Coturnix japonica: one gene and its partner. The protein of the gene in region 1 purifies or fractionates together with the protein of each later gene. This does not show direct contact. Links are inferred from orthologs where the notes say so. Each region holds a gene or a part of one and is shown on either strand. Other genes may lie near its edges.

Region 1 (3,805 bases):
GTAATAGGATCTTGAATGAATAATTCAAGAAGACTAGGATGTGAACTCTAGATCCGGAAGACAGTTTTATGATGCACGTTAGTTCATGCACAGGGCATTATTCTAAAGCTTCCACCACTCTGAGCTAGAAATGTATTAGTTATCAGCAATGCACAAGATCAAGAGGATTATTTGCCAGGTATCTTGTTGTGAATAACACAATTTCAGATCTAAACAGCTTCAAGTTAGAAAGGAAAATCTGAGAGTAAACCATACTTCACAGAGAAAAAGAAAGCTGAAATAAATGCAATCCACACAAGCTATTCAAGTTTCTATTTTTCATTGTAAAAAAAACAACAAAACAAGTTCTGGTGCATATTCAGCTACAAAAAAAGTTACAGCACTTTGGCATTTAACTTCACAAAGTGCACAGCCATTCATTAGATGATGCAGCTTACGATATATTTGTCTTCAAGAAAAGTCTTACCGAGTGGGCATGCTAGGTAACAAGAGGAAAACAATTAAGACAGCTCCATTTGCTCAAAGACAATTAGCTAACATACAAAAATGTGCCAGCTAATTGGTTAGGGTCTTTTATTTATTGTTCATGAGCTGTATTTTAATACTTACAACTGCCATATGCTGGATCTCTTCTTTTCTTGCATGGCTGGATTTTCTCTTGATGCTCTACAAGAAACAAATTTTAAGTTTACTGAGTAAATGTTAATGAAAATTTAAAAGGGGAAAGAAAAAAAAAATTCTTCTGCCTTAGTATTTTAACCAGTGCTTTTTATTTTAAGATTTGGCTTTTTGATACAGTTGTAAATAAATGGTGGTGATTTATCCTGGACTCATAAACCCAGCATACGCAGAGGAATGAGATTGCTGTAAGAGACAATAACTATAGCTACAGAAAAGCAAACCATAGCTGCTTGGGGATCACATTTCTTTCTCATACTCCGAATGACTCATGGGTATTGAGGACAATAACAAAGAAAAAAAAAAGAATCGAATATCATTCACTGTACCTGACCAGCAGGCAGCAGCAAATGACACCACTGGATATGGAACCCACTGGGGGGTGCCATCCCCTCCAGATAACTCAGTACTGAAGATGCAGGCTAGACCAAGTTCACCAGTTAATACTTAACAAATCTTACGATTTTAAAATTGTGTTTTCTCCTGCACCATTCAAGACCTTATACATGGATTATACTCAGTCTGAAGACTGACTGCATTACTTTCTTGATGTCTCAGCTGCTAACTGAGCACATCGCTTTAAGATGCGTGCACACATACGGTAACTTTTCACCCCCCAAAACAGTGGTGATTAAAAAAGGTTTGTAACCCTGTGAGAAAATGGAAACAGTGTTTGTTTCACATCACATTAAGTAATGCATTCTCAGAGGTGTCACCAAGATCCCATTGTGGCAAACCATTACATGCACATAACTTCAAAAACTTATTCATGGGCAGGCAAGAAGACAAGTCTACTGACCAGATCACACACAGATAAAGCTTGTGAAATCCGAGGAGCTAAGTGTCTTTTACCTTATCATTTCAGTCCATCGAACAGCTTCCTGAAGTTCCATCAGCCTCTCTTTATACTGATTTCTTTCCATCAGAACACGAGCCATTTCAACACGAGTAAAGCGCTTCCGCTGAGCGGTGGGGACATCACTCTGAACACAGAAAAACAAACAGAATGAACAAAGGAGCACAGCAGGGCCTTGCAGAGTCAGCCTCTGCCTTCAGACAAGAGTCAGTTTGGGGCACAATTCCAGATTCTAAACTGTTTGGAGCTTTGTAAAAACTAATTCAATTTTACCCAGTGCTTTCTACCACAGCTTCCTCTCCTCCCATCCTTCCAAATTTAGTAAAATCTGAATAAAAGCAGTTATTCAGGAAGGACAGGAATGACAGAGATAGCGAATTTAAGTTTACTTGGCCTCTTCAGATCTGTTTTAACATGGAGAAAGTTTACCTCTTAAGCAATTAAGCTTAACGGCATTCACTCAATACATGTAGTCTCACATCTACTTGTGAATTATCAATACAAAAACACGCATGCACACATAAACCTACATCATCATCCTCTTTAGCTTTTTGTCTTGCTTCCTCTGCTTCTGCACGAGCTCTAAATAAAAAGAAACACAACGTAAGTAGTTGAATTAGATACCACAGCAATTTTCTTTCTTTTTCAGAATCTCAGTATTAAACTTACCTTTTAAGCTCCTCTTCCAGTTCTTTGTTCTTCTCTTCAAGCTTTTGCTTTGCTTGTTTTACAGCCTCTAATTCACCTTGCAGGACATCCTTCTCACAGGTCAATTCATCCACCTTTGCTATTAAATCATTCTTCACCACATTCAGTGCATTCCTAGACGAACATGTTAAACATCATTACAAGGACGGACTACGGCCTCATAGCACATTTAGCTTCAGTTGAGTTTTATTCCTGACTACTCTTAAGTTTCTCACTTAGAGCTAATATTAAAAAAAATGATAGATTTTCTTAAGCAGGCCAAATCCTCCTGCCAAACCTCCAAGGTTCACAAAACACGTTGTACCACTGCATTAGAAAATAAAGAGGTAAATCAGAACAGTTTGTTCGAGAAGTTACATTCCTCAAGACAGAAAGATGTAGAGACTGATACAAGACTCCATGTAACAGAAGGACGGGAATATATTATTTTTTTACACTTACTTTGTCTCCAACAGCTGAGTGTTTTCCAAAATAAGGTTTTCCACCTCACGACCCATTCCTTTCCAAAGGAAATAAACACAGAATTAGCAGAAGAAATTCATTTCCTAAAAGCCTCAGTTTTATCATTATCCAAAAATAGGTGAATTTTAAGTACGAAGCCTGGCAAAAAAAATTATAAGCTACCTGAAATTTCAGGATCTACCACCTGCAGTTAGGCTTCCCCTCCACCTTCTTCCCAATCTGCCTTCAAATAAAGACTAAAGGCAGCCCTGGCTAACAGGCTGATGCTACCTCCACCTACTAAATACATACTGAGGATGCTACATCTCAACAGACAATAAACAAGTACAGCATCAGTGGGGAAGCATCAGTACACAAAAAGTTAATTCTACAGTGTTCTGCTGTCTTTTACATCAGGTAAGAGTCAAAAGTATGTAAGTTAAACAAAACATGCCAATTAAAGCTCACATTGTGAAAGCCCTGCAAATTTCCCCAGAGCAAATGATACCTTACCAAAGAAATTATGGTCTTTAAAGCCCATGCATTCCATGTAAAGCAAAAACAAGAACAAGAAACATTTCATGTAAGGGCTAGTATGAGTGAAGAGCAGTAAAATACTTAAACTTATGAAGTAAGAGTGAATTAAAACAAAGCCACCACCAATAACTGGAAGTGAAATGTGATGTGGTTAGAAGCGAGACTTTATATGAAAGTTGTTAAACAAAATTTGTCAAACTTTTCTATTGGTTGGACTTATAAAAAAAATTCAGTAATTTAATAGAAGTGTATTTTCTGTGAAATAATTTAGAAGCAAGTAATCAGAAATGCTTAACTGTTCAGTATGTTTCACAGGGATATACTGCTACAAAACACAAGCTTAACTCCTCACGTAGCTGCTTCAATCTAATCTCCACTCTTGTAAATTAACTTCTCATCCCTATTGTTTGCATGCATGAAGTAACCAATTGCAGGGTTTTACAAACAAGGTAGATATGGTCTGTTCACACATGGTACAGCAGAAGTATTTCCAGATTAAACCTTCCACTGTTAACACAATGATGACACAAGTGATGCTGATTCAAGATCAGCACAAGAAAAGAAGTCTCTTAATGGTGGAGGCTT
Region 2 (4,321 bases), on another chromosome or scaffold:
GCTGCTGCAGACAGGCATCTGCCTAGGGAGGGCATTGGGCTTAGGAGGCACAGTGGTCCCCCACAGTGGCCTAACTGCCTCGGCCTGGTCATGGGAGCTCCTCTGCCCTTCTACTGTGCTCAGCCCCTGCTCTGTAAGGGCTGGAGTCTGAGCCCTGTCCTGCTGTCTTCCACAGATCTACGAGGTGGTCCGGCCCCTGGTCAGCCTGCTGCACCTGCAGCGCTCGGGCCTGGAGAACTTTGAGGGGCTGATGGCACTGACCAACCTGGCTGGCATCAGCGAGCGGCTGCGGTAGGGGCGGGGGGGGAGAGGCTGGGATGTCCTGGGCACGGGGAGGGGGCACCGGGACAGCGCGGGGCGGGAGGTGCTCAGTGCTGCCCCGCTGCAGGCAGAAGATCCTGAAGGAGAGAGCTGTGCCCATGATCGAGGGGTACATGTTTGAGGAGCACGAGCTGATCCGCCTGGCTGCCACCGAGTGCATGTGTAACATGGCCATGAGCAAGGAGGTGAGCGCCGGCTCCGGCAGGGGCTGCAGCCCACCCTGTGCCGCACTGCGCTGCACTCAGCGCCCCCACCTCGCCCGCAGGTGCAGGAGCTGTTCCTGGATGAGGGCAGCGACCGCTTGAAGCTGATGGTTCTGTACAGCGGGGAGGAGGACGAGAAGCTGCGGCGGGCGGCATCGGGGACGCTGGCCATGCTGACAGCGCTGCACCCCCCCATCTGCAAGAGGATCCCGCAGGTGGTGAGTGCGGGGCGGCCTGTGCCCCGAGCTGCAGGCGGGGGGGGCTGTGCCGTACAGCGCGGGTGGGTTCGGGCCCTCAAAGCACATGGTGCTGTGCCCGCAGACCGTGCACTGGCTGGAGATCCTGCAGGCGCTGCTGCTGAGCCCCAGCGCCGAGCTGCAGCACCGCGGGGCCGTGGTGGTGATGAACATGATGGCGGCGGCGCGAGAGGTGGCCGAGCTGCTGATCGCCAGCGAGATGCTGGAGATCCTGACCGTGCTGGCCAAGGACCGGGACAAACCGCGCGTGGCGCAGGCGGCGCAGGAGAGTCTGGAGCGGGCGGTGCAGTACGGGCTGATCCAGCCCCATCCCGGCCAGCAGTGATGGGATGGGATGCGATGCAATGCGATGCAATGCGATGCGATGCGATGCGATGTGATGCAATGCGATGCGATGCGATGCAATGCGATGCGATGCTGCCCCGCTCTGCTCACCGCGCTGCTCGGGGGCCGCCCGGGGCCGCACGCCGCTTGTGGGGCTGACACACCGCGATGCTGGGGCCGACACACCGCAGAGCTGGGGCCGCATTCCCTCCCGTGCCTTACCGGGGCTCCGGCCCCGCAGGATGAACTGCAGCTGCTCCTTAACGGCGGCTCCGCCTCCCGTCCCTCCGGCCCCGCCCGCTCCCTTCCGCCCCCATCTCCCCCCCCCCTTCATGGCGGATCCGCGCCGCTCCTGGTTCTTGTTCGGCCTCAACGCCGAGGAGGCGGCGGGGGCCCCGGGGCCGGGGCGGCAGCGCCTGGGGCTGAAGGGCGCCGTGATCCGCCGCGTGTGTCCCGCGTGGAGCTGCGCGGTGCTGGACACGGGTGAGCTCCCCCCCCCCGGCCCCGAGGTTCCTCCGTTCTGCCGCCCCGCGGCGCTCGGATCCCGGCGGGGTTGGGACCGTCCCCCCCCCGGCTCCGCTGACGCCGCCGCTCCCGCAGGCTCCGGGCTGCAGCTGCTCAGCGCGGGGCGGCGGCGGCCGCTGCCCGAGGACTGCACGGCGGCGCTGCCGTCGGAGACGCACGTGGTGCTGCTGCGGGGCGCGGCGGTGCAGGCGTGGCCCCTCGCGGCGGCGCTGCGGGACGAGCTGCGGGGGGAGCCCGCGTGGAGCCGGGAGCTGCCGCCGGGAGCGCGCCCCGCGCTGCCGCTGCTGCCGGGCGGGTTCGTGGCCCCGCGGCCGCCGTTCTACACCGCGCTGCCACGGGAGACGCCGCTCCGCGCGTTGGCGCTGGGACACGAGCACGCGGTGGGGCTGGGACAGGCCGGGGAGGTGTACGGCTGGGGAGCCGGCAGGTGAGCGGGGGGGCGCGGGGTGGCCGTGGGTTATTGAGCGCTATCAAACAGCGATCACCTGCTGAGGGAGCCGGCAGAGCGCCCAGCCGAGCTGGGAGCGAACCGAGCTCCTGTTCTCGTGCTGCTGCTACACATAAACACTGACTGCAATGAGCGACTCCGGTCTCGGTTCTTCACTGCGCCCTGTGGACGCTCAGTGCCCCGTTGTGCTCGGGGCGCTGCTCGTGGCTGAGCTGACAGTGACGGTCCCGTGTCGGTGTGTGTCCCTGAGCAGAACCCAGCGGCACTATGGGAAGCTTTGTCTGTTTCTCTCTTTGCCGTTTACATGAGACGAAGCTGATGGAGAAGCACGGTGCAGACAGGGCCGGCTCCTTCTGCAGCACTCAGGGTCGGTCCAGCTGCGTTGGCTTTCAGTGCAGTTGGTGCCTGTTGTCATAGCAGTCAGCTCAGCGGGGCTTGTATTTATGGATATTAATCGTTGGTCTTCCCGTTTCACTGGGCTGCAGATTCCTGCTGTACTGTGCAGCCCCGTAGGATGAGCTGCACACACAGGAGCAGCCGGCACAGAGCGGGGGAGGCGTCTGTCTGTGTCCTTCTGTCTGTGTCTCCCCACAGGCACGGGCAGCTCGGCCACGGCAGCCTGGAATCCGAGCAGCAGCCTCGGCTGGTGGAGGCGCTGTGCGGGCTGCCCGTGAGGGAGGTGGCAGCCGGCGGGTGGCACTCGGCCTGTATCAGCGGTGAGGGGCTCGGTGCTGGACGGGGGCGCGGGGCGGCAGCTCCTGCTGCGACCTGACCGGGACCCGACCTCCACAGATGGGGGAGACCTTTACGTGTGGGGCTGGAACGAGTCGGGACAACTGGGGCTGCCCTCCCGGGCGGTGGCGGAGCAGCAGGGAGAGGATGAGGACGTGGGTGCAGGTGAGGACGCCGTGGGGCTGCAGCAGCGCCGGGCTCAGCTGTGGGGCTGAGCAGAGCTGTGTGCAGGGCTCCAAGATCCGCCGCTGCCCGGGGAGCCGCCGGGCGCTGCCTTCATCTCCATCCAGGCCTTCCCAGCCCTGCTGGACCTCCCGATGGAGCCGGCAGTGGCTGCGGTGAGCTGCGGTTCACGGCACACGGCTGCGGTCACAAGTGAGTGCCCGGGGATGGGGGGGTCCTGCATCCCCCGGCCTGGGGGCTGACGGCACTGTCCTGGTTGCAGGAGGCGGAGAGCTGTACACCTGGGGCTGGGGTAAGCGCTGCCTCTGCTCTGTGGTTCTGCTCCTGTTTTGCTTATACAGGGGCTGGTTTGGGGCGCTGGCACCTTTTGCTGCTGGCCCCAGGGGTGAATCTTCCCACCAGGCCCCACATTGCGCTGCTCTGCCCACAGGGAAATACGGGCAGCTCGGGCACAGGGACCGCGCCAGCTGCGACCAGCCACGGCGTGTGGAGCAGCTCCGGGCTCAGGGGCTGCAGGCGCTGGAGGTGGTTTGTGGGCCCTGGAGCACTTATGTCTGCGTCCTGCAGCAGGGAGGGGCGCAGGGCTCCCATCCCCACAGCACAGCTCCAGCCCTGAAAGCTGGGACTGAGCGTGGGAGCTGCCCAGGAGAGCTCAGCCCCCATCCCTGACCTCAGTGCTGGAGCGGCGCTGCTGCACATCACAGCTCAGACTGGAGCGGCGCCACGGCTGAAGATGACGCAGAACGAATGTATTTATTAAATCTTATTTGTTTTGTAACAGCAGCAGTTGTGCTTCACGGTGCTTCCCAAGGACGGTTCCTGCCTGTTCCAGGCCCTGGGGGGGGCAAGAGGGGAGGAGGGGGAAGTGCCCAGCCCTCGCTCTGCCCCCTCCAGGCTCCGAGAACAGAGATTGCAGTCATCCCAACGAACACACAAACAGCAGCGGCTATATATACAGATATGCATTATTCTCATAAACAGTATATACAGTTACAGGGTATGGAGACAGAACTTGGGGATAAATAACAGCAGGTGGGGAGCTGTAGTGATAACAAGGTGCAAATTAGTCATGATTGAGGGCCGAGCTAAGAAAGGTGCAAACTACCAACCAGTGTGTTTTACTGCTGAGTGCAGCTGGAGCACAGCAGGGCAAGGGGCAGCACTGGAGGCTGCTGGACTTTGTCCGAGCTCAAGGAGCTGCTGGGGCTGTTCCCCCAGCCCTCACCCCTGCCTGCTGCAGGGAGGGCAGAAGATGCAGGGAAGCAGCACACTGAGCTCCGGGAGCACAGGGCACCTGCAGGACACAAATACCCACACTGCCTTCCTAG

The links.
Region 2: the proteins of SPAG9 (region 1) and RCCD1 purify together in Homo sapiens (affinity purification with mass spectrometry; 3 studies listed by BioGRID and IntAct, counting the BioPlex papers as one, with this or other methods). This does not show direct contact. The link is inferred for Coturnix japonica from reciprocal best matches to the Homo sapiens genes SPAG9 and RCCD1.

Annotation. Positions count from the first base shown.
Region 1 is NC_029533.1:8,775,339-8,779,143, reverse strand, and holds part of SPAG9 (C-Jun-amino-terminal kinase-interacting protein 4), read right to left. Parts: intron 3,212-3,805; coding exon 3,197-3,211; intron 2,742-3,196; coding exon 2,684-2,741; intron 2,357-2,683; coding exon 2,204-2,356; intron 2,117-2,203; coding exon 2,065-2,116; intron 1,662-2,064; coding exon 1,531-1,661; intron 667-1,530; coding exon 610-666; intron 1-609. UniProt on the Homo sapiens protein: The JNK-interacting protein (JIP) group of scaffold proteins selectively mediates JNK signaling by aggregating specific components of the MAPK cascade to form a functional JNK signaling module.
Region 2 is NC_029525.1:18,222,787-18,227,107, reverse strand, and holds RCCD1 (RCC1 domain-containing protein 1), read left to right. Parts: upstream 1-1,437; coding exon 1,438-1,588; intron 1,589-1,705; coding exon 1,706-2,057; intron 2,058-2,672; coding exon 2,673-2,794; intron 2,795-2,870; coding exon 2,871-2,975; intron 2,976-3,041; coding exon 3,042-3,185; intron 3,186-3,255; coding exon 3,256-3,285; intron 3,286-3,423; coding exon 3,424-3,662; 3' UTR 3,663-3,776; downstream 3,777-4,321. Other genes in the region: UNC45A (protein unc-45 homolog A), read left to right, coding at 176-291, 389-506, 587-742, 846-1,106. UniProt on the Homo sapiens protein: Plays a role in transcriptional repression of satellite repeats, possibly by regulating H3K36 methylation levels in centromeric regions together with KDM8.